Linked DNA regions of Ovis aries. The protein of the gene in region 2 interacts with the protein of the main gene of each other region in a biochemical or structural test. Links are inferred from orthologs where the notes say so. Each region holds a gene or a part of one and is shown on either strand. Other genes may lie near its edges.

Region 1 (6,674 bases), on a different chromosome or scaffold from region 2:
CCTGAGCTGGGCACGCTGGGCGTGGGGGGGCAGGGCCTCGCTCATCAGGGCCCGCAGCCTGGACAGGTCAGCTCCCCTCGGGGCCGTCAGGCTCAGGGTGAGAACGCACTGCACGGTGACGGTCGCCAAGGACTCAGGGTCCCCCGGAGCTGCTCCCTGGGTGCAGGAGAACAGTGGCTGGGCCCCAAGGCCCCAGGTCCGGCCGGGGTGGGCTTCAGGCCCAGGGGGAAGGGCAGGGGCGGAGTGGGGGGCGGGGGCCACGGACTTGGGAGGCTTCCTCAGCTGGATCGGAGCGGGGCCTGGCCTCGGGGCCCTCACGTCCCTGGGGAGTGGGGGTGACGTGACAGCTGCTGGCTCTTACCCCTGCGCCGGTGGGCTCCTCGGAGGAGCCAGGGCTGGGCTCCCCAGCTGCCAGCAGCCCTGCAGGGAGAAAGGAGGGGGGAGCCAGGGAGCCAGGTGACTGCTGTCCTCTGAGGGGAGCCAGTCAGAATAGGGGCTGCTGGCACCCTGCTCCCGGGAACCACAAGGTCACCAGCTTCCGCTGTGGAGGACCCAGCAGCTCCCAGCACTCCCCACAGACGCCTGCCTGGGCCCTGAGAACACCCCGCCCCCCAGGGGGCCCTCACAGCCCGCCCCGCACGGGGCCTCACCTGGAGGAGCCTGCTGGCCAGCGTCCTCCCCGTGGGCACTCTGCAAGGAAAGCCACAAGCTGGGGCTCTGCTGGGCCTCAGGTCCGGGCAGAGGGTGGGGGCGGGGGATCTGCTGGGCCCAGCAGACCGGGGGGTGAGGGGCACAGCCTGCAAGATGGCCCGGCTGGGCAGGAGGCCACCAGCCCAGCCCTGCCACGGGTAAATCTGGAGCATGAACCAGATCCCTGTGACCGGAGATGACAGACCGGCCGCCGTGCCTGTGGGCGCGGAGCTGTCTTCCCCTGGCCCACCAGGAGGTGGCAGCTGCAGCTGAGACCAGCCCGGGAGGCTGGGGCTGAAGCCAGGGACCCGCTGGACATCACTCTGCGTCAGGGCCGCAAGCCTTGGGCATGCTGCGGGCGGGACGACACAGAGCCCCCAGCCCAGGCCGCCTGACCCACGGATGGAGACCCCGACTTCAGGATGGGTTAAGTGGGCTGTTTGCACATGAAGCATTAGGATTTACCGGCTGCTGGAAGCAGTCAGGGAGCTGCTGCCGTTCCGTCTGGAAGGCCTAGCGCTCAGCACAGCAGTGATGAACCGACGGCTTTCAAGAGCACTGATCAGCCCAGCGAGTGAGCCGGGCCTCAGTGGATGAGGAGGGGGAAGGACCATCTCGTTCTCACCCGAGCCCCTTGATAACGTGAATGTGCGAGGCTGCTTTCTCTGTGGTTAACTCTAACTTCCTCACAGCGGCCTCACGGCCCCTGGCATGCCACCCCTCAAGGCACACCTGCCCAGCACACCTGCCCTGAGAAGCCTGAGCCAACCCCTCCTCAGCTGCACGCAGCCCCTGGGGCATCTCGGAGAGTCCCGCGTCCAGCAAGGAAGGCCGGGCGCCCCAGCTGAGGGGCGGAAGCCTCACGGCTCTGAGGCACACACTGCAGCCCCTCCCGGGTCCAGGGTGGGGAGCACCCCCAGCTCCCCGCGGGGCACCTATGAACGTCCGTGTGTCCCTGACTCCTGGCATCTGGTCGCTGCGGCTGGCTCCCACCCGGCCCCTGGCCTGCCTAAGGAAGCCGGAGCCCTGTCCCCAGCAGGTGATGAGGCAAGCTGCCCGGCCTGAGATGCCCCGCTCGGGCTGATCCCCAAGCCCAGCCTGGGGCGGGGGTCTTGCAAATGCTGTGGCCTCTGCCTGCCCCGCCGGGGCTCACCCACCTTGTGGGTAACCAGCGTGCCGTGGTCGTGCTGCCCAGCCTGGCCGGAGCTGACCTCCAGCTCCACGTCAGCGGGTGTCCTGGGGCTGCAGGGGGTGTCAGCTCTGCCGGGGGCAGTGTCACGGGCCCTGGAGGGGAGGGGCCCTCGTTCCCAGGCCTCCCCCACGGGCAAGGCCTCGTGGGGGGTGGGCCTGCAGAGCCCCGAGCTGGAGAGGAGCACCCCACTCAGAGGGCCGCCTGCAAGGCTGCGTCTAATGGCTTTTCCTGCAGCCTGTGGCCAGCTGCACCCCACCGGTGCCTCTGGTGCCCCCCCGGCCTGAGCGGGGGTGGGCTCTCCCCCTGGGGGCAGGATGCGCTCAGGACAGATGGGAGGGCTGACTGAGGTGGGATGCCCCCCACCACACTGGGACCCTGGACAGTCTGGAAAGGGGACAGGCCACACTGGCCCCTGGTCCCTGGCCCTGAGTGGCCGCAGCGGGTCTGCCCAGGAGCTCCAGCATCAGGCCAGGAGGCAGGCCTCGCAGGGCCCCTGCTGATAGGAGAAGTGGAGGCCAACCCCTTCCTACCGTGCAGCAGCCCTGGGCCTGGCTTCACCACGCACGTCCAGAACCTGTGGGCACAGACAGCTCCTGCTCAGGACGCAGACCCCCAGGAGCCCCAGGGGCCAGGGGGCAAGGCTGCAGGATTTTCACCGGCTCTCACCAGGATGGGCTACCCCCTAAGTTTAGATCGGAGGGACATGGGGAGCCCCGGGGAGAGTTCAGGCACCCCTAAGGGTAAAGAATCCAGGAGGCCTGGACCTGCCAACGCCAGAGGAGACACGGGGGGCGGGAGGCGGCTCGCCTACCTGTGGCTGTGGCGGGGCGACCCCGTGTGAGCCGGCGGGGAGGGCGGAGGCCAGCACCTGTGAGCAGCAGCAGGGGCGGCGCCTCAGCGGTGCCCGGCCTGCTGCCCACCTGCACCCCCGAGTCCCCGCCTGCCTGGTGGGCCTGCCGGAGCCTGGCTTATCTGTGTGACTTATTTTCAGTACTGCTTTTAGAAGGTTCTTATTTCGTAGCAACAGCCACATCCTGCGGCAAGGGCTCCGAGTGGGTGGATTAATGCAGCTCAGAAGCACCTCCTCCAGGCAGCCCTCCAGCTAAGACACCCAGTGCCTGGCCCTGGGTGACTGGGGCGTCAAGGGCCCGGGCCACAGCTAGAGACCAGAGTGAGCCTCCCTTTGTGCACAGGGAGCCCTCTTTCCCCACACACCAGCCCAGCCTGGGGCAAGCTGCATCCCATCAGCCGGCGATTTTGCTGGTGCCACTTGCCCGGACCCCGGGCTGGGCAGAGGTGGCCAGGCCAGACCTCCCTGTTCCTCCAGGTTCCTGCCCCCTGAGGCCGAAGTGCAGGGCGAGGTTGAAGCCAGGAGAGCGAGGCTGCGGCTGAGGCAGGCAGGGCTGGGCCGGCTGGGGTGCGCAACGGCTTTCAGTAGCTCCGCCTCCAGGTCCCAGGACTTACCCGTGAGCACTGCTGCCCCGGGAGCCTTGTGCCCCCTCTCACCCCAAGGCCTCGATGGCCCCAGTGCTCCGGACAATGTGAGCTCAACAGGGCCTGGCCGCCCGCCCTGCGGCCTGCTGGAGCCGCTGGCCCCAAGGCCTGGGCCCAAGCAGAGAGAAGCCGCCTCCTTTTACCTTGGCCTTGCCCAGGAAATCCACAGGCTCCAGGTGCTCCACGTGCCGCCTATGGGGCCGGAAGACCTCACCCCTGGGGACCTGCCGAGGCTGCAGGGGGACCTGTTTCTGGAGGGGGCCGGATAGGGGAGCCCTGAGCGCTGGTAGCCGCCCGGAGCCTCAGAGCAGGACGGCCCACTCCCCAACTCTCACGGCCTGTGGGAGTCCCATCCCCCGCAGGGCACACAGGCCCCCCACCTCCAGACTTTTCTTTATCTCATATAGTTAGTCTTGGGGGGCTGGATGGATGTGAGCCCCAAAACTGCAGGCTGTGGGCCTGGCAAGACCCCCCGAGTCAGCTCAGGAGCCTGGCTCCCCTCGCCTGCCCCCCTCGCCTGTCCCTTACCTGCACTTGGCCCAGGGCGATGTCCAGGTCGTTGCGGACCCCTTCCGGCCCCTTGGAGATGGCGTCCCCCAGGCTGCAGGCGGCCTCTGTCCAGAGCCCCAGCTGGCTCTGCACTGCAGCCACATTGAACAGCACCTGAGGGCAGGGGGTGCGGGTGGGGGGCGAGGTGATGGCAGGTCCAGCGTTCCCCTCCCCCGCAGGGCCACCATCTGGCCCCGCACCTGGCCCTGCACTGGTCCAGCCCCTGAGCTGCCCAGACACAGTGGCCCGGGGCTCTTCCAGGTGCCCCCTGGCTCCCGCCCCAGGGTGGGCTCTGCCTGGCTGGTTTCTCTCTGGACCCCCCAGCCAGAGCCAACCAGCCCTCACTGCTTCTCCTCTGCTCTGAACGTCAGGCCGTCTCCCGTCTTCGGAAACATCCGCTCAGCCTTCACGCCTGTCCTGAGTTTGGCCTGACCCCCTCCTGCCCGTGCTGCCCTGTTCCCTGAACCCCCAAGAGTCTGGGGCACTATCTGAGGGGCGCCTCTTGTCCGCCCCTTCCCGCCCGAGCTGGGGGATAGCAGTCAAGTCGTCCAGTGCTGCCGGGAGGACGGAGCGCCGCCCGGGACAGCCCCGTCCCCACGCTCTGCAGGGACTGTGCGCTCCTCGGCCCGCTGCCACGGGTCTGCCCGGGCCACGGATGCCAAGCCCACGCCCCGCCCTACAGGCCAGGGCTGGGGCCTGGCCCACCCTGGTGGGACTCCCCCCATGGCTGACCGACCAGACACTGCAGCTCCCAGAGGCTACAAGGCGGCCTGTTTCTGGGAGCGGTGGGGGAACCTCCCAAGCCTTTCTCTCAGTGCCGGCTACTTCCCAGGAGGCCAGGAATTGAGCCAAGCACCAAGCCCAGGGCAGGGACGCCAGGGCCCACTGCCAGGCCAGCTCCCGCCCTGCCCACCCCGCCACCTCTCGCTGACCTCCAACACTGCCCTCTCCTGCTGGGATTTTGGGGGCCCTCTGGCCAGAGGGAGCACCTCACTTAACTCGGGCCCACCTGCACAGTGACAAGATGACAGGGCCCAGAGGGTGGGGCCAGCCCTGGAAGGACCCCCCGGGCTGCCCGCCCACAGACAGCCCCCAGGGCCCAGCCACACGGCCTCCTGGTGGCCCGCTCCCCGCACACTCACCTCCCAGGCTTGCAGCTTGAACCGCAGGCCCAGCTGGGTGTAGTCAATAGCGGTGTTATCCCTCAGCTGGGCCAGGGTGCGCTGGAAGTCGGACAGGGCCTCCTGGAACCTGTGGGCAGTAGGGGAGCCTGGTGTGGGGGCCCTGGGCGGCCCCAGGGCAAGGGCTCCACCTTGGCCCGGACCCGGCCCCCGCCCCAGCCCCTCCTGCAGCACGGGGGCAGCGGCGGTCGGCAGGCCTCAGCACACGGGGTCCACACAGACGGGCTGTGCAGCATGTGGGCTCCTCCACCTGCACCGCAGGCCCTCTCCTGAACCTCGGGGTGCAGAGTGCCCTGCCTGCTTCCGGGGTCTCCGTCCCACAGGCCTCCCCACCCCGACCCCGGCTGGATGCCCCAACCCCAACCAGGATCCTCATTGCCCCGGGGCAGGCTTCCGGGCTGATGAGAAGGAGGTGACCCCAGAGCCCGCCCACCCTGTGTAGCGCCTTCTGTGGGCGCCGGGCCTGCCCTGCAGCTCTGATTCCTTCTCTGGGAAGGGCCTGGCACAGAGAGCCGCGTGGGCAGAGGACCCCCCGCCAACCCCGCCCAGTCCTGGGATGCACCATTCCTCCAGCCTTGCCCTGGGTTTCCCGAAGGCAGAATGGGCAGAATCATGCCGTCCCTGCAGTCCAGGGGGTAGGAACGGAGGAGGGGAGCCAGCAGAAGCGGTCTGTGACCCTCTTCCAAACAGAGCCCAGGGTCACTGTGCAGCCCGGCGTGGGGACAGAGAGACACGCCCCCACGTGAGCCCGGGGAGAGCTGGCCAGAGGAGGTGACCGTGGGCAGAGAGGAGCACAGGCAGGACTCTGCAGAGACGAAGGGCCGTCAGAGAAGGAAGAGGGCACGTCTGTGTTCACCTCTCCAGCTGGAAGTTGGCCACTCCGCGCTGGAGGAAGCCAACAGCCAAGCAGGCGTCCTTAGTCACCGCCCGGTCAAATGCCTGCGGACAGAAATGTCTGTGAACTGCTCAGGCCTGTAGCCCCGTCACCACCGTGTCACAGATGGGGATGCCCAGCAGTGGGTCAAGGAAGCCCGTCGGCCACATGACCGTCACCTGTAAGAGAAAGCCTCCCTCGCCTGCCCAGGGGCCTCTGGGTCCAAGGGGCGCAGGCGTCACGGCTTCAACGCAAACCTGCCTGGGCTCCCCAGGTGTTTTCTGATGGCTGCTCGGGGGTAGTTAGATGGCGGCACAGACCAGCTTGTTAACCACGAGGAGGAGGAAACGCTCCAGCACGTTGATAATAGTTACCTCCACGGAGGGAGTTATGTTAAGACTGTTGTCTCCTTCAAGCCCTAGCTTTGGTGGTTCACACAAAAAGACACACGTTTCATCTATTAGAGTCAGAAGGAAGAACAGCACGAAAGCCTTAATGTGCGTGTGAAGCCCAGCTCTTCCTGAAACTGAACTCAGAAATGATGCCGTCTGTTCCTAAGGACAGCAGCCATCAGGCAGACGCAAGCAAAAGGAGTGCACCCAGCAGCCACCAAGTTAAACACAGGCAACTGGAGGGTGTCACGGCCCCGCTCTAACAAACCTGGCCGAGCGCGGGCTTGTCGAGCTGAGTCTGA
Region 2 (7,663 bases):
CATCCTTACTGGGGCCTTGAGGACCTTCTGTCATTCAACCTCCCCTCCTCTGATCCACTCTCCCTCAGCTCCAGCAACTCAGCCTCCTGTTCCTGAATATCCTAGCCCACCCTGGCCTTGGAAAGGCCCCCTTCTCCTGGGGAGCCAGAACCCAGATAAGGAAGCAGCAGGCCTGTCCGCTGTTGCAAGTCCCAGCACAAAATACGCTGAAGCCAGGGCTTCGGTCATTTCTCCAGCATTTTATTTTGGTCTTGAGTTCCACGGAACCTGTAAGGCCAGAGGCCGGATTGGAGGTGAGCAGCAGAGTTCGGCCCATAAGCCTCTTTCCTGATGTGCAAACAGCGCACAGCCTCCGGGGCTACAGTCACTATCCCATGCTGTCCCTCACTACAAGGTGGGGAGACACTGGCCAGGCCTGAGGGGCGAGATGGTGGTGCCCAGCCAGGCCTGTGGGCTTCCTGTGTGGAGAAGGTGGCAGGGTGGGTGAGCAGGAGGCCAAATCCTGAAGGGAAGGGACGTCCTGGGCTGCCCCTGCCTCCCGTCGATAGCCTCACAGGCCCACAGTGAGGAGGCCACCACTGAGGTGCCTGCATCGGGCTCCTCCACTTCTCCTCTGAACCGGAGAGGGAGAGGGTTCCCAGGGCAGGGTCTGGGGACCACCCAACGGAGACACCACCGGCTCTGTGTGTGATGGCACTTTAATGAGCCCCGCCCCCTCTGGCCGGGCCTCCCCAGGCTCAGCCGCTGGCTAGTCACAGGAGCCATCCTTCCAGCCGTCGCGCCAGCGCTCGTCCACCAGTGAGCAGTCGAAGTCTGGCTTGCCCAGCTTCCGGTTCACCTCGTTGTGCAGACGGCAGAGCCACTGGGTGAAGCTCACCCGAGTGCGCGTGTCTGGCTGGTCCCTGTATATCCTGCGTGAGGGGGAGCACGTGCAGGAGGGGGCAGGCTGTGCTCCCAGCATGCCCGCCCCACCATCTTCCTGGCTTGCCCAATCCAGGGAAGAGAGCTGGGGCCTAGATTTAGGGGTGCCCTCATGCTCTGAGGAATTCCCAGAAGGGAGCTGACCCTCCAGCCTCAAGTCCCAGTTGACTCTTAGGCCTGCTCCAACCCCTACCTAGGGCACGTGGCAAACCCTGACAAGAGCCCCGGGCAAGACATTAAGGCACAAGGTCTCCACTTTACAGCCTCATAACAATCAGGAGGCCTCACCCTAGCGTCCCTGGCCCCAGGCAGCGTGTGGAGGGGCAGGGCTGGAATAAAGGCCTACCTGAAAACCAGGTCTGCTTCTTCACACCTTTGGCCCTACCACACCACCTCAGCAAGAGACCTCGTATAAATAAATGCCCAGGCTCCAAACAGCAAGGGCTGCCCTTTTTACCCCACAGCCAGCCCAGAAATGCTTATGGCTGCCAAACAACAGTTCTTGGGCTCCCCAAAAAGGTGGCTCTTGGAAGCAAAAGCAGTGAGTTCCCAAGGCCTTGAAACTGAAGGTCCTGCTCCAGAAGCTAGACAGAGTGGAGTCCCTGGAAACCTGCCAGAGTCTTCATCAGTGCAAAGCAAGGGATCTCATGAGAGTAGCCCTCCCGGGGAGGGAACTCCGTGGTTGCAGAAAGCAGCAGCCCCCAGCAGCAGCCCCAGGCCTGGCCTTTAAGGAGAAAGGCGATGGCTCCAGAATCCCTCCGCTGTTGGTGGTCCCTGCTCTAGACAACCCGCTGCCACGACGGCCTCTACTTCTCTAGGCTCCCCTTTATGGCATCTGCCAGGGGCCCCAGACCCAGGCTGCACACTCTGCAGACACGACTCACCTTTTCCTTATGTCTTCGGCACACTCTTCACACGGGTAAAACTTGGAAAATAAATGTATGAACTGGGCCATATCCTGCTGTTGCTCTGGGGTGGGCAGGTCGGGGTAGTAGGCAGCCAGGGTATGGAGGACAGCCCAGCTGTTGCGGCCCAGTTCCTCGCGATCCTGAGGGCAATCCTCCCTAAACTTGCTGTCCCGCTGTGGAAGGAGGCCGACCAAGGGTCAGTTCGGTTTTCCCCGACCAGAAACCTACAAAGTTCCCTATTTTTTTTTTTTCCGCCCCAGCCGGAGACCCACTGACCGGAGAAAAAGTCCTGGGGCCGATCCAGCCCACACATGGCCAAGAGCCAAAAGGCTGGGCCTACCTTGGGGGCACGGTTAGGAAGCGCCGACCCCCGGGGAGGGGGCGGGGAGCCTGTCCAGGGTGCCCGAGGACAAGGTGTGGGGGCCCCCCTACGCCTGCACCTTCTGCTGCGTGCGCATCCACGACTTGAAGTCCACGCAGGCCCGGCAGGGCCACCGCGGGGAGGCGAGCTCGGAGGCCGGAGGGTCGGACGCCGGCCCCGCGGATGGCGCCCGGGCCGAAGCAGCGGCTTTTCTCCCACCCGCGCCGCGGCCGCGCGCGTCCGTCACCAGGTCGTCCGTCACCTCGGAGCGCGCGCCGCCAGGAAGGAAGATCCCAGTGCCGAAGCGGCCGCGCTCGCTGGGCGCCGCCATGCCGCCCGCGCAGTGCCTGCCGGGCCAGCGCAGCCGCCACGACCGCAACCAGGCGGGCTCCAGGCCAGCGCGCGCGCCGCCGCCGCCAGAGCGCGACCGCAGAAGCCGGGCGCGCGCGCCGCGGACGCGGAGCTGGGCCCGGGGGCGGGGCCCGGTGCGGGGGCGCGGCTGGCGGCCCGGGTCCGCGCCCCGGGAGATGCAGGAGTGCGAACTGGGGACGCGCCGGAGGCCCGAGCCGCGGTTTGCGCGGCGCCGGAGCGCCGAGCCTTAGCCTTGCGCCTGGGCCTCGTTCCACCGCCCGAGCCGGTCTTGTGTCGGCCGTAGCACAGCTCCCGCTTCCTCGAGTATGTCACTGTGTTGTGGATGACGACCCATGGGAGCGACGCGGCTTCGGGCTGCGGCCTTCTGGACCTCCGTGTTGAGGCCCGCGACGGCCTCATCGCTCCGCTCCGACCTTCTCGCGTGCCTGCGGCTTGGCTCTGTGCCCTCCGCTGGGGGCGCGCCCGGGACCGGTGCTTGGCGCCTGGGCAATGCGGGGCGGGGCTGTGAGCGCACAAAGGGCGGTGCAGCTGAAGGTTCGGCGAGTCCGCCTAGGCGACCGGCGCCATCGCCACGGGTGCCCGCCTAGGCTGGGCGGGTCGAGCCTGCAAAGGAGGAGGTGCGTCTCTGGACTCCGGGGAGCACTGAGCAGCCCCTCTCCTCTCTGCTCAGCCCCACAGCCTACCTGAAGGGGTTAAACCCAGGTGGGGCGTGGTCTCAGGGATACCACTGCTTCCATATGTACTTTAATTCCACATGTACATTAATATGCACATTAATTGATTCTGCAAATACCTGTGTAGTGCCTGATCTGTCTTTAGCACTGCTCTAGGCTCTGGACAGGGCCAGGAGCAAGATTCATTCCTCCCTGACCTCCTCAGTCTAGTGGTCGAGACGGAAAAAACAAGAGTCACACTAATAAGTGTTTAGATACAAGCTGTGATGGAGGCTATGAACAGGGTGTGTTAAATCTAGGAGGCCTCCTTGAGGAGTTGACCTTTAGGCAGAGAGGCCTGAAGAATGAGAAATCAGCTGAGGAGGGTTGTCAGAGCCAACGCAGGAGGGAGGAGGAGCTTGACTTCCTGCATGGGCAGAAAGGCCAGTGTGGGACAGGACCTGGGAAGGGTGGTGTGAGCAGAGGTCCTGAGGTGGCCAGGAGCCCACTGAGGACACCATCAACTGACCCAGGAGCTGGGGATGTGTGCTGAGGACCCTGGGACAGTGCTGGGAAGTTTGGGGGAGGGTACCCTGGCCTGATCCCATTTCGGTTTTGCATAGATTCTTCTGGAGAGTGGATTTCACGACAGCAAGTGAGGACCACAGGCTTTGAGGGGGGAGCATGGAGCTGTTGTAGTGGTCCAGGTGAGAGGTGAGGGAGGGAATGTGGAGAGTGTGGAGAGCATCTCAGTTGGGGGGGGTGGGGAACATGGGTCAGCCATGCAGGGAGGGGCTGCAGCGTCCTTCTAGGTCCCTGGCTGTGAGCACACTGGCCCTTCTCCAACTTCTCTGTCTTCCAAGGGAGCAGGAGCCGTCCCACTCTGTACCCTACCAGGCCAGCGGCCCCCACTGAGATTGCCAAGAGTGTGACAGCTGGACTGAAGGCACTTTGTAAAAATTAGGCCTGTGTCCACAGGTGTTCATTGCCTGGGCCAAGACCCGGGGAGGTTTGAAGGCTTCAGAGAGCGCCTCTGGCTGGACAGATGCACAAAGGCCTTTTGTCAGGCCGGGGTGGCTTCCTGACCCCTCCCTCCCTCCAGGGCTTGGGTGGAGGAGCTGGGACTGAGGCCCACCTGCCAGAGTGTGACTGAAGGAGGAGGGGAAGGGCTGTCAGAGTGCCGCCAGGCTGGCCGCCCCTCCCAGCTCTCAGAGGTGTGGGCGGGGGTAAGGAAGAACCCCTGTGCGCCAGGTTTGGATGGGCTCTCGGCTCCCCTGTAAGGCGGTGGTCCCGAGATGTGGCCCCCGGGCGCAACGTCTGGGGATTCTAGGGCCTTCCCTTCAGCGCCCCAGCCAGTTGGGGGAGGGTCACTCCTGACCTCAGAGGTTGTGTCTGCAGCGCACTGATAAATCATGAATTCAGAGGTGATTCTCAGAACAGTCCTAGCCATTCCCAATTCCACCTCACTATTCCCAATGCTAGTGACTACAGATGGACCCTCTTCATCCTGCTGCAAGCCCCTCCACCACAGCAGGACCTGTGGGGTGGGCCTGTGAGGTCTGCCTCTCCCCAGCAGATGAAGAAACCCTGACAATATATGTTTAACACAAACTTCCTCCTCTGCCATTTGGGGACATTAAGAGACCTTTCCTCCAATGTGAGGATTAAGCCAAACAAAGCACTTAAGAGCCTTTAATATTTTCCTGGTGACGACTACAGTCAGCTCAGGGACAGAGCCAGGGGCACACCAGGCCACTGGGCGGCTCTGCCCAGCCTGGGCACCAGCAGGGCGTGGCGAGCCGGGAGGGGTGGCCTGGCGGTGCTCTAATGGCCCTTCCTTCCCCTCCTCCCCCCACGCTCACACTCTGGCAGGAACCGCCCCCCCACCGTCACTGCTTCCCCTCCTACCCGGGGAGCCCCATGCCCCTGCCTCCCCAGGTGAGGGGTGCGGCAAGGAAGCGGGGAAGGCCCCAGTCAAGGGCAGGGTGGTGCAGCCAGGACTGGGGCACTGCTGGGGAATTCCAGCCTTCCGGGTGCCCAAGGCCTTCCCTCCTACCCCCATGGGCAGGGAGGTAGTGGGACCCGGGGTCACGCCCAGCAGACTCCCAGAAGTCCCTCACGGAGATCTGGGGAGGTCACCAGGATGGCGGGAGCCCGGCACCCGGTGTGTGTGAGTGGGGCAGCTCTGGTGCAGACAGACAGGCTCCAGGTAGGAGCCCATGGGACCCCTGCCAGCCCCAGAGGAGGTGGGGGAGCTCCTGGCCCAGCGCCTCCAAGACGCCCCCAACCTCCCCCAGCAGGCGTTCGCCTTCTCCGTGTGCTGGTCCGATGGCAGCGACAGCTTCGTGCGCAGAAGCTGGGGGGACTTCAGGAGACTCCACGTGAGTCGGCCACCCGACTTCCCCAGCAGCCTGACCCACGGGAGACCACCCACACCCTGCCCTTGTGCCCACTCAGGCTTTCAGCCAAGGGACCCCTGCCTGCCCTCCCAGGGGAACCTAGTGGGCCCTCGGAGACCAATGATGCCTCTTCTCGCTCAGAAAACCCTCAAGGAGACCTTCCCGGTGGAGGCAGGCCTGCTGCGGAGATCTGATCGCGTTCTCCCCAAGCTCCCAGGTCAGGCCAGCAGGGATCCAGGAGGGTGGGGGCGGCAGCAGTGGGATGTGAGGAGCCTGGGCGGGGCTCCCACAGCTGCCCCGTCCTGCCCGCAGCTGATGCACCCTGGCTGGTGCTCCGAGGCCGCACCGGCCGAGGCCTGGCCCGCCTGCAGCTGCTGGAGGCCTACCTAAGGGCGCTGCTGGTGGCCGGGGAGCGTGTGTCCCACAGCCCGGTGCTCACTGGCTTCTTCGAGCCACAACCTCTGGACTTGGAGCCTATGCTGCCACCCGGCAGGTGCCTGCCCCGAGGACGGGGGAGGAGTGGTGGGGAAGAGCCCACAAGTGGGAAGGCTTGGAGGCTGGACGGGCCTGTGGGAGACACCTGACACCTCTCCCCTGCACCCTGGGCCCTCACCAGCCTGGTGATCCTGCCCAACCCGCAAGAGCCCCCGCCAGGCCCCCCAGGCAGCCCTGCCATCCGCACCCTGGAGGCCCAGAGCCTGCGCTGCCTGCAGCCCTTCAGCACGCAGGACACTCGGGGCCAGCCCTTCCGCGCTCAGGCCCAGGAGGCCCTGGATGTGCTGCTACGACACCCCTCAGGTGGGCTGATGCCCCGCAGGTGGGCTGGTGGCAGTCAGAGGGACAGGCCCTTCAGCCCCTGGGATCCCAGCGGGCTGCAGGAACTGAAGACCCCACCCGTCCCCCTCTCGGGCACAGGCTGGTGGCTAGTGGCAAACGAGGACCAGCAGACGGCATGGTTTCCTGCTCCCTACCTGGAGGAGGCGGCCCCACACCAGGGACAGGATGGGGGACAGCCCCTGGGGATAAGCGGTGAGACTGACCCTCCTCCCCACACCCCCGCCGTCATGGGGCAGTGTCCAGCACGCGCTGGGGGAGAGGCGCCACGGGATGGCGGGGGCGACGGTGGCCCTGCAGTGTCTGCTTGGTCCCACTGGGCTTTAGAAGGGGTCTCTGGTATTGAGAGAAACCTCTGAAGCCCCATGGTGACCACCCAGCGTCTACCCCCAGGGCCCCAGTTCTGTGCTGTCTGCGCCTATGAGAGCAGCCGGGCTGATGAGCTGTCCGTGCCCGCAGGGGCACGCGTGCATGTGCTGGAAGCCTCTGACCGAGGCTGGTGGCTGTGCAGGTGTGTGGGCTGGGGCTCCGGCAGCCGGTCTGGTGCGGCGCGGCGGGGCGGGGTGGGGTGGGGCGGGGCCCAGAGCCAACCAAACTCTTCGTCCTACAGGTTCCGAGGCTGCACCGGTCTTCTCCCAGCTGTGACACTGCAGCATGATGGGCTGGGCACCCTCCTCAGCGGGCCGTGGCTCCACCATGGGGCTGATGGTGCAGAGGGCGGGGAGGGCAAGGCCCATGGCTCCCCCAGGTCCCCCCAGGCCGTGATGCTTCCGCCTCCTGTGCCTGCTCGGCCGCCTCTGAGTGCCATTCAGAGCCGCTGCTGCACCATCACCCGTAAGGCACTACGGCAGGGAGCCCCCTGAGAGAGTGTGGCTTATCGTGGAGGGCGGTGCTGTGCACCCCAGACCCCAGGGATCACCCCAGGCTCCAGAGCCCAGGGATGACGGCTAACAGCCACCTCAGCCTCAGGGCCATGGGAGGAGCGGTGGAGGTGGGGCTTGCTGGGCCGCATGCCCCTGGTGTGCCCTGAGTAAAGCTCTCCTGACTGACCGTGCCGTGTCTGTGTTGAAGGGCAGGTCTGGGGGTGGGCCACCTGTGGCCCAGGACCAGGGGGTGAGATGAAGTCAAGACAGACACAAGGAGCCAAGACAGCAGAGTCCGTGTTTCTGTGTTTCAGAGGGCCGCGGGGGCCGCGGGGAGGGTGGGCAGCTTCAT
Region 3 (7,497 bases), on a different chromosome or scaffold from region 2:
GGAAGCTGGTCTGAGCCCATCTGACCGCCCGGTTCCAGGTGGCGTACACTTTTGATGCGGGTCCCAACGCCGTGGTCTTCACGCTGGATGACACCGTGGCTGAGTTTGTGGCTGCCGTGAGGCACAGCTTCCCCCCTGAGTCGAACGGAGAAAAGTGAGTTGCAGGTCCCCATCCAGGAGGCTGTGGCGGGCAGCAACCATGAGGACCACAGGCAGTGTCCCCACACGCGTGCCCATGTGGCTGTGGATGCTCGTCCACTTGGCCCAGCCCCAGGGGCACATGCCTGTCTCTGGCGGCTCCTGTGATGATGAGGGCGTCTGGATTTCTCCCTCCCAGCTGTTTAAGGGGCCCTGTTCTCATTGTGGGGACACTTGACCCGCTAGGGATGTGAGAAGCGTCTTTTTATCTGTCACCCTAAGGAGGCAGTGAGGCTTCTGGTAGGTGGAGCTGAGTACTGCTCCCACACTGCGTGGGATTGGCCCCACCATTGAGGACGTAGAGGCTCTAGACTCATTGCCCTGGTTACCACGGGGGTGGTTTGTAGGATTAAGCTTGAACTGAGGCTGTTTCTTAAGCTGTCTCCCCATGGGGCACGGCAGCATGGTGGGCCAGGGCGAGGGGCAGTATTAGAGCCTCGTGGAGGTGTCCTGAAGCCCTCCCCTCAGAGACAGCCAGACCCTGGCTTTCTCACTCCAGGTGTGCCTGTACTCACCATTTGACCACCTCGAGGTGTGCAGCCCAGTGGCATTAAGAACAGGCTGAGCACCCTTGTTCATCAGCCCCAAAGGCCCTGACCCTGCTGGCAGTCACGGTTCCCAGCAGTCCTGCATCTGCCTGCACTGCACACCTCCCACCCCTGCCGTACTTAGACTGCAGTCCAGCCCTGCCTTCTTCCCCCAGGTTTCTGAAGGGGCTGCCCGTGGAGCCCATCCTGCTCTCAGATGAGCTTAAAGCTGCGCTGGGCATGGACCCTGTCCCTGGCAGCATCAGATACATCATCGCCACTCAGGTGAGTCCTGGTTGCACACCACATGCGCCCTGCAGGCTCGCCCCAGGGCATCCACAGGAGGGCCAGTGAAGTAGCTGTGACCCTGCTCCCTGGTTTCACAGCACCTAGTGTTCCCCTCAGTCACTCACAGAATATTTAAGGACTGATGGATGCCTGTGGTGTGCAGGGGTGGGGCTGGACTGTGGTGTACCCTCCAGAGCAGGTCAGGGTCCTATCTGACTCCTAGACCTGTGACCTATGCTCTCCAGGCCTTGGCCTCTGCCGACCGCTCCAGACTTGCTATCCACTCCACGTCTGCCCAGAGGGACTGAGCCTCTGCCTGAGGATTGGGCCCTGGGCCCAGCATCACCAGGGTGTCTGACCTGCCTGCATTTCCTGGAAGGGCAGGTGCACCCTGTCCCTCCCTGATGATAATTTCTTAACCCCACAGGTGGGACCCGGGCCTCAGGTCCTGGACGACCCTGTCGCTCATCTCCTGGGTCCTGACGGTCTGCCAAAGCCAGCTGCCTGACCACCTCTTTGATGGGGCCCGGCCGCCGCTGGGAGAAGGGGCCGCTTCACTGGGATTGGGAGCCGGGTGTGGTGGTCAACAGGCCACGCTTGTTGGGATTTGTGGGTAACTGCCTGCTCTGGGCCAGGCCATGTGCTGTGGCTGAGTTGGGCAATGGATGACGCCTGCAGCCACCCAGATGATCAGGGGAAGCCCCCCCAAGTGCCTCACCTTTCCCTGACCTGCACCCAGCGCTTGCTGAGATGGGGACCTGGACCCTGATCCAAGACCAGGGGACTGAGCCGGCAGGGAGCTGCTGGTGCATCGATCATGAAGGGCCCTCAGGCCCCGGACTCATGGGCACCCCACTGCCACAGGAGGTGATGGCATGTCGGGGTACCCCTCAGAGCTGGAAGCCGGGTCACCGTGCAGGGGACGACCTCAGGACAGCTCCATGAAGTGCTCCCTCAACTCTGAGCCCAGGCCCCTGAGTGGGTGCAGTGTTGTGTCTGCGGGACAGAGGAGCAGTGCCAAGGCCAGAGTAAAGGCAGTTCGAGGACTCACCTGGCCTGGTGTGCTTTCTTCAGCCCTCACCCAGGGGGCTGGGCGGGCATTGTGGGGGGTGGGGCTGGGGCCTCCCCGCCATGCCTGGGATGCTTAGCACAGGCCACAGCCACACAGTGGTGGGTAGACGTGGTCACTAAGGCCGACAGGCTGGGGAAATGGTTCGGGTTTGGCTTTAAGCTCGGTCCACATCCCCCTTCCAAGTGAGTTCCATTCTTCTCCACTGTCCTAACCCAGCTGGGGGAAGAAGGGGGAGGGCTTCTGAGCCCTCTGACCTTGACCCTAAAAGGGAGTCCAAGGAGGGAGGTGACAAAGGACAGGGCCCAGCACTGCTACATTCTGGGTTCTCCCAGAAGCTTCCCATACTCACCCGCCCTACCCCCCCAAGTTAGTCCAGGGTTACCAGTGGGGCCAACACCACCACACCTGCACTAGCCCAGGGCCGGATGCGGCGGGCCTCCCAGGAGTCTCCCCAGGGGCTGGCCTGAAGCCCTGCTTCCCCTCCAGGGGTCCACCGAGGCCGGGCTGGCTGGGCCTGCAGGGGAGGAAGACCTGAGGTCCCGTGGAGCGAGTTGGGGGCAAGGCTCCTGAGACCCCAACCTGCAGCCGGCCTGTCACCTGGGGAAGCGGGTTGGGGCGGAGCCGGCGGCGGGGCGGGGCGGCGCCGGAACTTGGGGAACTTGGGCGGGGCGGGAGGCTTGCTGAGCTCTGGGGCCGCGGGGTCTGAAGAGTCCGAGCCGCGTTCGAGCCGATCTGCCGCCATGGGGCAGATCGAGTGGGCCATGTGGGCCAACGAGCAGGCGCTGGCGTCCGGCCTGAGTGAGTGGGGGGCGCTTTGCACTTGGGGCGGGGGCTGCAGAGGGGCTGCTGAGCCTGGGGGCGGGGCGCCGCGGCAGTGCAGGGGGGCTCTGGGGCTGGGGAAGTAGGGGCCTGGAGACCCCAGGCTGCGAGAGGTAAAGGGGAAAGGGCAGGCTGGAGAAGGGGCGGGAGCAGGGGTCCTGAGGAGCCAAAGACACCCGGCTGGAGCCTGGGGTGGGGCCCCGGGCCCGGAGGCTCCAGTGGGCGACCTACAGCGCCGGCGGGAAGGGGGCTGGGGGCCTCTGTTGGGAGCAGGGGAGGGGGATTCGGGGCCCTCCTGCCCCTGCACCCCGTGCACACCCACACCCCCATCCTCTGCCCTCTTCTCCACCCCCCACACCGTCCCCTCTCCCCTCCCCCGCACACCCTCTTCCCCTCCCCCTCTCCCTCGCCCCCCCCGACACACACAAAAGAGGAAGTTCAGTCTAGGGAAGAAGCGCTTGCCCCCGGGGTTTCCGGAGAACTCACCGCCCAGTAGGGCTGGGAAAACCCAGCATGACCCACCCCTGCCTGGAGTGACCCTCCTGCCCTGGGGTGGAAGCTCCCTCCCCTAAGGCCCCTGGGCTGCGGAGGTGGGCTCTTCCTGCCTCCTGGCCAGGCTTGGTCCATGGAACTGGGTGACCGCTCTGTCTCCCGGGGCGCAGCCCTGAGTCTGCTCAGAAGGACATTGCACAAGGCAGCTGGAGACGACCCATGTGACCCCTCCCACCCAGCTCCCAGGGCCTGCTTCTGGGTAGGAAGGCGGCCGTCCCCCCTGCTTCCCCGTGCTCAACCGCGGTTGCAGACAGTGCTGTACGCACTTGGACTCAACTTCTCAGGAGAGGGTGGGGCTTGAGGCTTGAGGAAGCCCCCCGTGGCCCCGCCCCTCCCAGGAAGGCCCCGCCCCCAGTGAGAGTGGGCGGGCGGGAGGACCTGGGGATAAAGTGATGAGGAGGGTCTCAGCCACCGCGTCTCACCTGGGACCCACCCTGAGGCCCCCACCGCCAACCTGGGGACTGAAGGAAGGAGCCTGCGAAGCTGAGCTGGGGGTGGGGAGGGAGCACTTTAAGGTCACATTTTGGGGGTGGGCAACTTTGGGGTGCCAGGCAGGGCAGCCCCCTTCTGGCTTCTAGATGGCGGAGAACCCAGTGGGTCAGTACGTGGCTTTCCTTGCTTCTGCCCAGAGCTGTCTTCTCCCAGTGCTGTCTACCCCTCCCCATCACCACCGCAATGACTACTGCTTGTCTTCCTCCACAACCTTCTGGCTCTAAATTCCTCCTCTTGCTAACTCCTGACTCAGTACCAACACAGGCCCCACGAGCATCTCAGCCCACCGTCCCTTTATGTTATAGAGAATCGCATCTGATCAGATAACGGTCCCTCCATCTCCCACCACTCTGCCCCTGCCCCTCTGACCTCGGGGGCCCACCACCCTGGTGTTTGCCACAGAGCTGGCTCCCCCCGCTTCACCTCTCTGCCCACATCCACCTGCTCCGAGCCACAGCGCCTACCTCATTCACCATGATCTGAAGTGTCTGTCCACATCGAGAGACCCCAGGCCCCTCTGGGAGCTGAGACTCCTGCTAATGACGCAGGCTCAGGCCAAGGAAATTACATGCCCAGGTCGAGTGGACGAGCCGCTGCCTGAACGCAGGAGCGATGGCTCTTCCCCTCCTCCAGCACAGCAAGTGTGAGCATGACACCAGCAGAAGAAGGCCAGGGTTCAGGGGCTGAAGGGAGGGGTGGGAGGTCAGAGCTTTTACCTCGTGGGACTCTGAGGCCAGACCGGGAAAGGCTGTCTGAACAAGAAACAGATCAAAAGATCGTCCCCTCCAAGGAGTTGTGTTATCTGCCACCACAGCCTGGACGAAGAAAGTCACAAGTAAGACAAAACTGCTGGAAACTCAGGCCTGTGCTACACAAGGGGCAGGGGCTGCCCTCTCCCACTCTATGCCACAGGGACCACCAACGAAGAAGTTCAAGTCATCAGAAAGGAGTGCTGAAGGGTGTGCTCCAGCGAGGGCGAAGCTGGATCCAGAGGGAAGATGGCTATGCCACTGTGAAGACACTGACTGTAAATAATTAATAATTGTGGCTAATTTGGGGTGAGATTAAAGATAAACCTTCTAAAGTCCACATGTAGTTCAGGAAGAGGAATTTTAAAATTACAGTTTGATCAAGTCAGTAGAAGGCAGGAGAAGCAACAAGAAAAGCTGTTCAAGAGGAAACCCAAGTAAGATAACAAAGTAAGTTATCTGTAATCACAGTCAATAAAATGTGTCAAATTCACTATCAGATTGCTTAAAGGGTGAAGAGTTTAACTCTATCAGCTAATTCATAAAAGCCCAACGTTGGAAGCAACTGACATGTCCCAAAGGCAGGAGAATGCATAAATAAATTGTGGGAAACTACCCAATGAGACAAACAGCGAGCCAGAGCTCTGTGCAAACCACCCCAGGAAGGGCCTGGACCAACCTTCTGTCAGCAAAAGAAGAGCCCTCAGAAAACCTGGGATGGGGGAGAATCTTGATATGGGTGGAGGTCACATGGTAGGGGTCACACATGTTAAAAGTCTGTGCACTTTATGTCATAGTGATACCCCAGTAAGTGACTGGAACCCTGAGGATGGGTGGCCGTGATGGAGTGACAGGTGTGAGTGTGCATCACGCCCCTGAGCGGTGCACTGAAGCTGCCGCCGTAGAAGAAAGTCACTGGGGAGGAATGGGGCCGATGCACATGCTCGCGGCAGGTGGGCTGCGATCAGGTGCACACAGGGCTGGAGAGACCAGGCCCACCCAGACCCAGCATCGCACAGAGCACACGAACAGGATCAGCCCACACACCCGAGGCCAGGACCGAGGGTCCACGCAGCTGGTACAAAGTCAACCACCAACAGCGTGGTCCTTAAATGCATTGAGCAAATGCTCAGGGTGCCGTGGCTCACAGGCCTCGGGGGTGTGTCCAGGCTAGAGCCAGGCCCTGCCTCCCTCTCAGCAGCTCCTCAGCCCCCTCCCTGCCTCAAATGCTGCTCTTGGGGAAGGGTCCCAACCCCCATGCCTATAGCCACCCCCATCATCTACCAAGGTCTCCCCCGCCTGGGTCCCCTTCCTGGGCTAACATGGTGGCGGATATGGCAGCTCTGTGGTGGACTGTTGGCCCTCCTTGGGGAGGGGGCCCTGGGGAAGGGGCCAGAGCCCCTGCAGAGATGGGGTATGGCACCTACTAACCTCCTTCTCCTCTGCCCACAGTCCTTATCACCGGGGGCATTGTGGCCACGGCCGGGCAGTTCACCCAGTGGTACCTGGGCGCCTACTCCATGTATCCTCTTGCTGCAGACCCAGGTTGGGGTCGGGGCCAGAGAGGCTGCTGCCCCTTGAAGGCAGGAGGGGCTCCGAGCAGGGAGGTGACAGAGCCTGGGGGCCTCCCTGGCAAGGGAGGGAGGTGTCCGTGGCACCTGAGGGCTGACACTGAGGCCCGAGAATGCTCGGGGTCCCTCCGTATTCCCTTCTATCAGTCACCCTCCCCAGCTGGCCTGGCCTGCCCACCAGTGGACCGAGCCCCCCTTGTCCCAGCCAGTCCAGCTGTTACAAGCCCTCCAGACGCCAAGGCAGGCATGGGGGAGGGAGGCTGCCTTGTTGGAATCCTGTGGACTTCAGGCAGTGGCCACACCTCTCTGTTCTCTCATCAAAAGAGCCGACTCCCTGGGGCCTCTCAGGCTTGATCTGGGCTGTTCCTTAACCTGCGCTTCAGAGCAGCGGGTGTATTGGTCTGCCTGCTGGAGTACCCTCGAGGGAAGAGGACCAAGGGCTCCACCATGGAGAGGTGGTGAGTTTCCTACCCTGTTCCGGGAACCACCCCCCACCCCCACCAGCTGTCACTATGAGGAGCCTGTCACTCCTGTCTGTCCGAGGCTCCAGCACCAGCCCACTCAGGGTCTGCCCTGCCACTGAGCCTGAGACCCCCTCCCCTCCCCGGGACGAAGAACCGTGTGATCTGAGAGGCTGGGGCGGGTGGAGGGTGACATGGCCTGTCTCCCCCCCGCCCAGTGGACAGAAGTATCTGACCAGAGTGGTGAAGCTGTTTGGGCCCCTCACCAGGAACTACTACATCCGGGCCTTCCTGCACCTCGGGTGAGCACGCGCCCACTTGGGACCCCTCAACGCCACCGGCAGAGGACTGCTGGGGTCAATCAGGCCTCTCCCAGCCCAGAACCTGTTCCAAACAAAACCCCAGGTCCCAGGCTCTGCCAGGGGTTCCCCAGACCTGTATCTGTCATTAACACTTCGCCCCAGCCTGATAGCTTAACTCGGATAATCGGTGCCCCAGGGTTGATGGCTCAGCCGCCCCCAGTGAGTCTGCTGGAGAGACCGCCATGCTGCCGAGACCTCTTCCCAGGGGGTGGCCGGGTGCCAAGTGCCCTGTCCAAAGACTCGGGAAGGTGCAGACCAGGCAGAGAACAGCTAGGGGTGAAGTTAAAAGTCCAGCCGCGCAGCACTGGGCCTGCTGGGCCTCCCCTCCATTCAGGGTCCTGCGATCCTGTGCTGTCTGACCCGTGCCAGGGGTGGGGGAGCTGTGGACCCCCTCTGACCATCCTCT

What was found.
Region 1: the proteins of NOXO1 (region 2) and NOXA1 form a complex in vitro, tested with the Homo sapiens proteins (2 studies listed by IntAct). The link is inferred for Ovis aries from reciprocal best matches to the Homo sapiens genes NOXO1 and NOXA1.
Region 3: the proteins of NOXO1 (region 2) and cytochrome b-245 light chain form a complex in vitro, tested with the Homo sapiens proteins (3 studies listed by IntAct). The link is inferred for Ovis aries from reciprocal best matches to the Homo sapiens genes NOXO1 and CYBA.

Annotation. Positions count from the first base shown.
Region 1 is NC_056056.1:550,636-557,309, forward strand, and holds part of NOXA1 (NADPH oxidase activator 1), read right to left. Parts: intron 6,046-6,674; coding exon 5,963-6,045; intron 5,177-5,962; coding exon 5,068-5,176; intron 4,040-5,067; coding exon 3,905-4,039; intron 3,628-3,904; coding exon 3,520-3,627; intron 2,751-3,519; coding exon 2,694-2,750; intron 2,457-2,693; coding exon 2,413-2,456; intron 1,975-2,412; coding exon 1,848-1,974; intron 691-1,847; coding exon 651-690; intron 421-650; coding exon 266-420; intron 157-265; coding exon 1-156.
Region 2 is NC_056077.1:2,058,130-2,065,792, reverse strand, and holds NOXO1 (NADPH oxidase organizer 1), read left to right. Parts: upstream 1-3,048; 5' UTR 3,049-3,179; intron 3,180-3,838; 5' UTR 3,839-3,922; intron 3,923-5,106; exon of another isoform or gene 5,107-5,283; 5' UTR 5,284-5,358; coding exon 5,359-5,424; intron 5,425-5,512; coding exon 5,513-5,596; intron 5,597-5,755; coding exon 5,756-5,831; intron 5,832-5,926; coding exon 5,927-6,107; intron 6,108-6,230; coding exon 6,231-6,412; intron 6,413-6,529; coding exon 6,530-6,643; intron 6,644-6,841; coding exon 6,842-6,959; intron 6,960-7,058; coding exon 7,059-7,311; 3' UTR 7,312-7,498; downstream 7,499-7,663. Other genes in the region: GFER (FAD-linked sulfhydryl oxidase ALR), read right to left, coding at 749-911, 1,806-2,002, 2,270-2,521; TBL3 (transducin beta-like protein 3), read right to left, coding at 7,622-7,663. UniProt on the Homo sapiens protein: Constitutively potentiates the superoxide-generating activity of NOX1 and NOX3 and is required for the biogenesis of otoconia/otolith, which are crystalline structures of the inner ear involved in the perception of gravity.
Region 3 is NC_056067.1:13,432,973-13,440,469, reverse strand, and holds the start of cytochrome b-245 light chain, read left to right. Parts: upstream 1-2,774; 5' UTR 2,775-2,825; coding exon 2,826-2,883; intron 2,884-6,149; coding exon 6,150-6,219; intron 6,220-6,651; coding exon 6,652-6,726; intron 6,727-6,947; coding exon 6,948-7,031; intron 7,032-7,497. Other genes in the region: MVD (diphosphomevalonate decarboxylase), read left to right, coding at 39-154, 902-1,010, 1,441-1,521. UniProt on the Homo sapiens protein: Subunit of NADPH oxidase complexes that is required for the NADPH oxidase activity that generates, in various cell types, superoxide from molecular oxygen utilizing NADPH as an electron donor.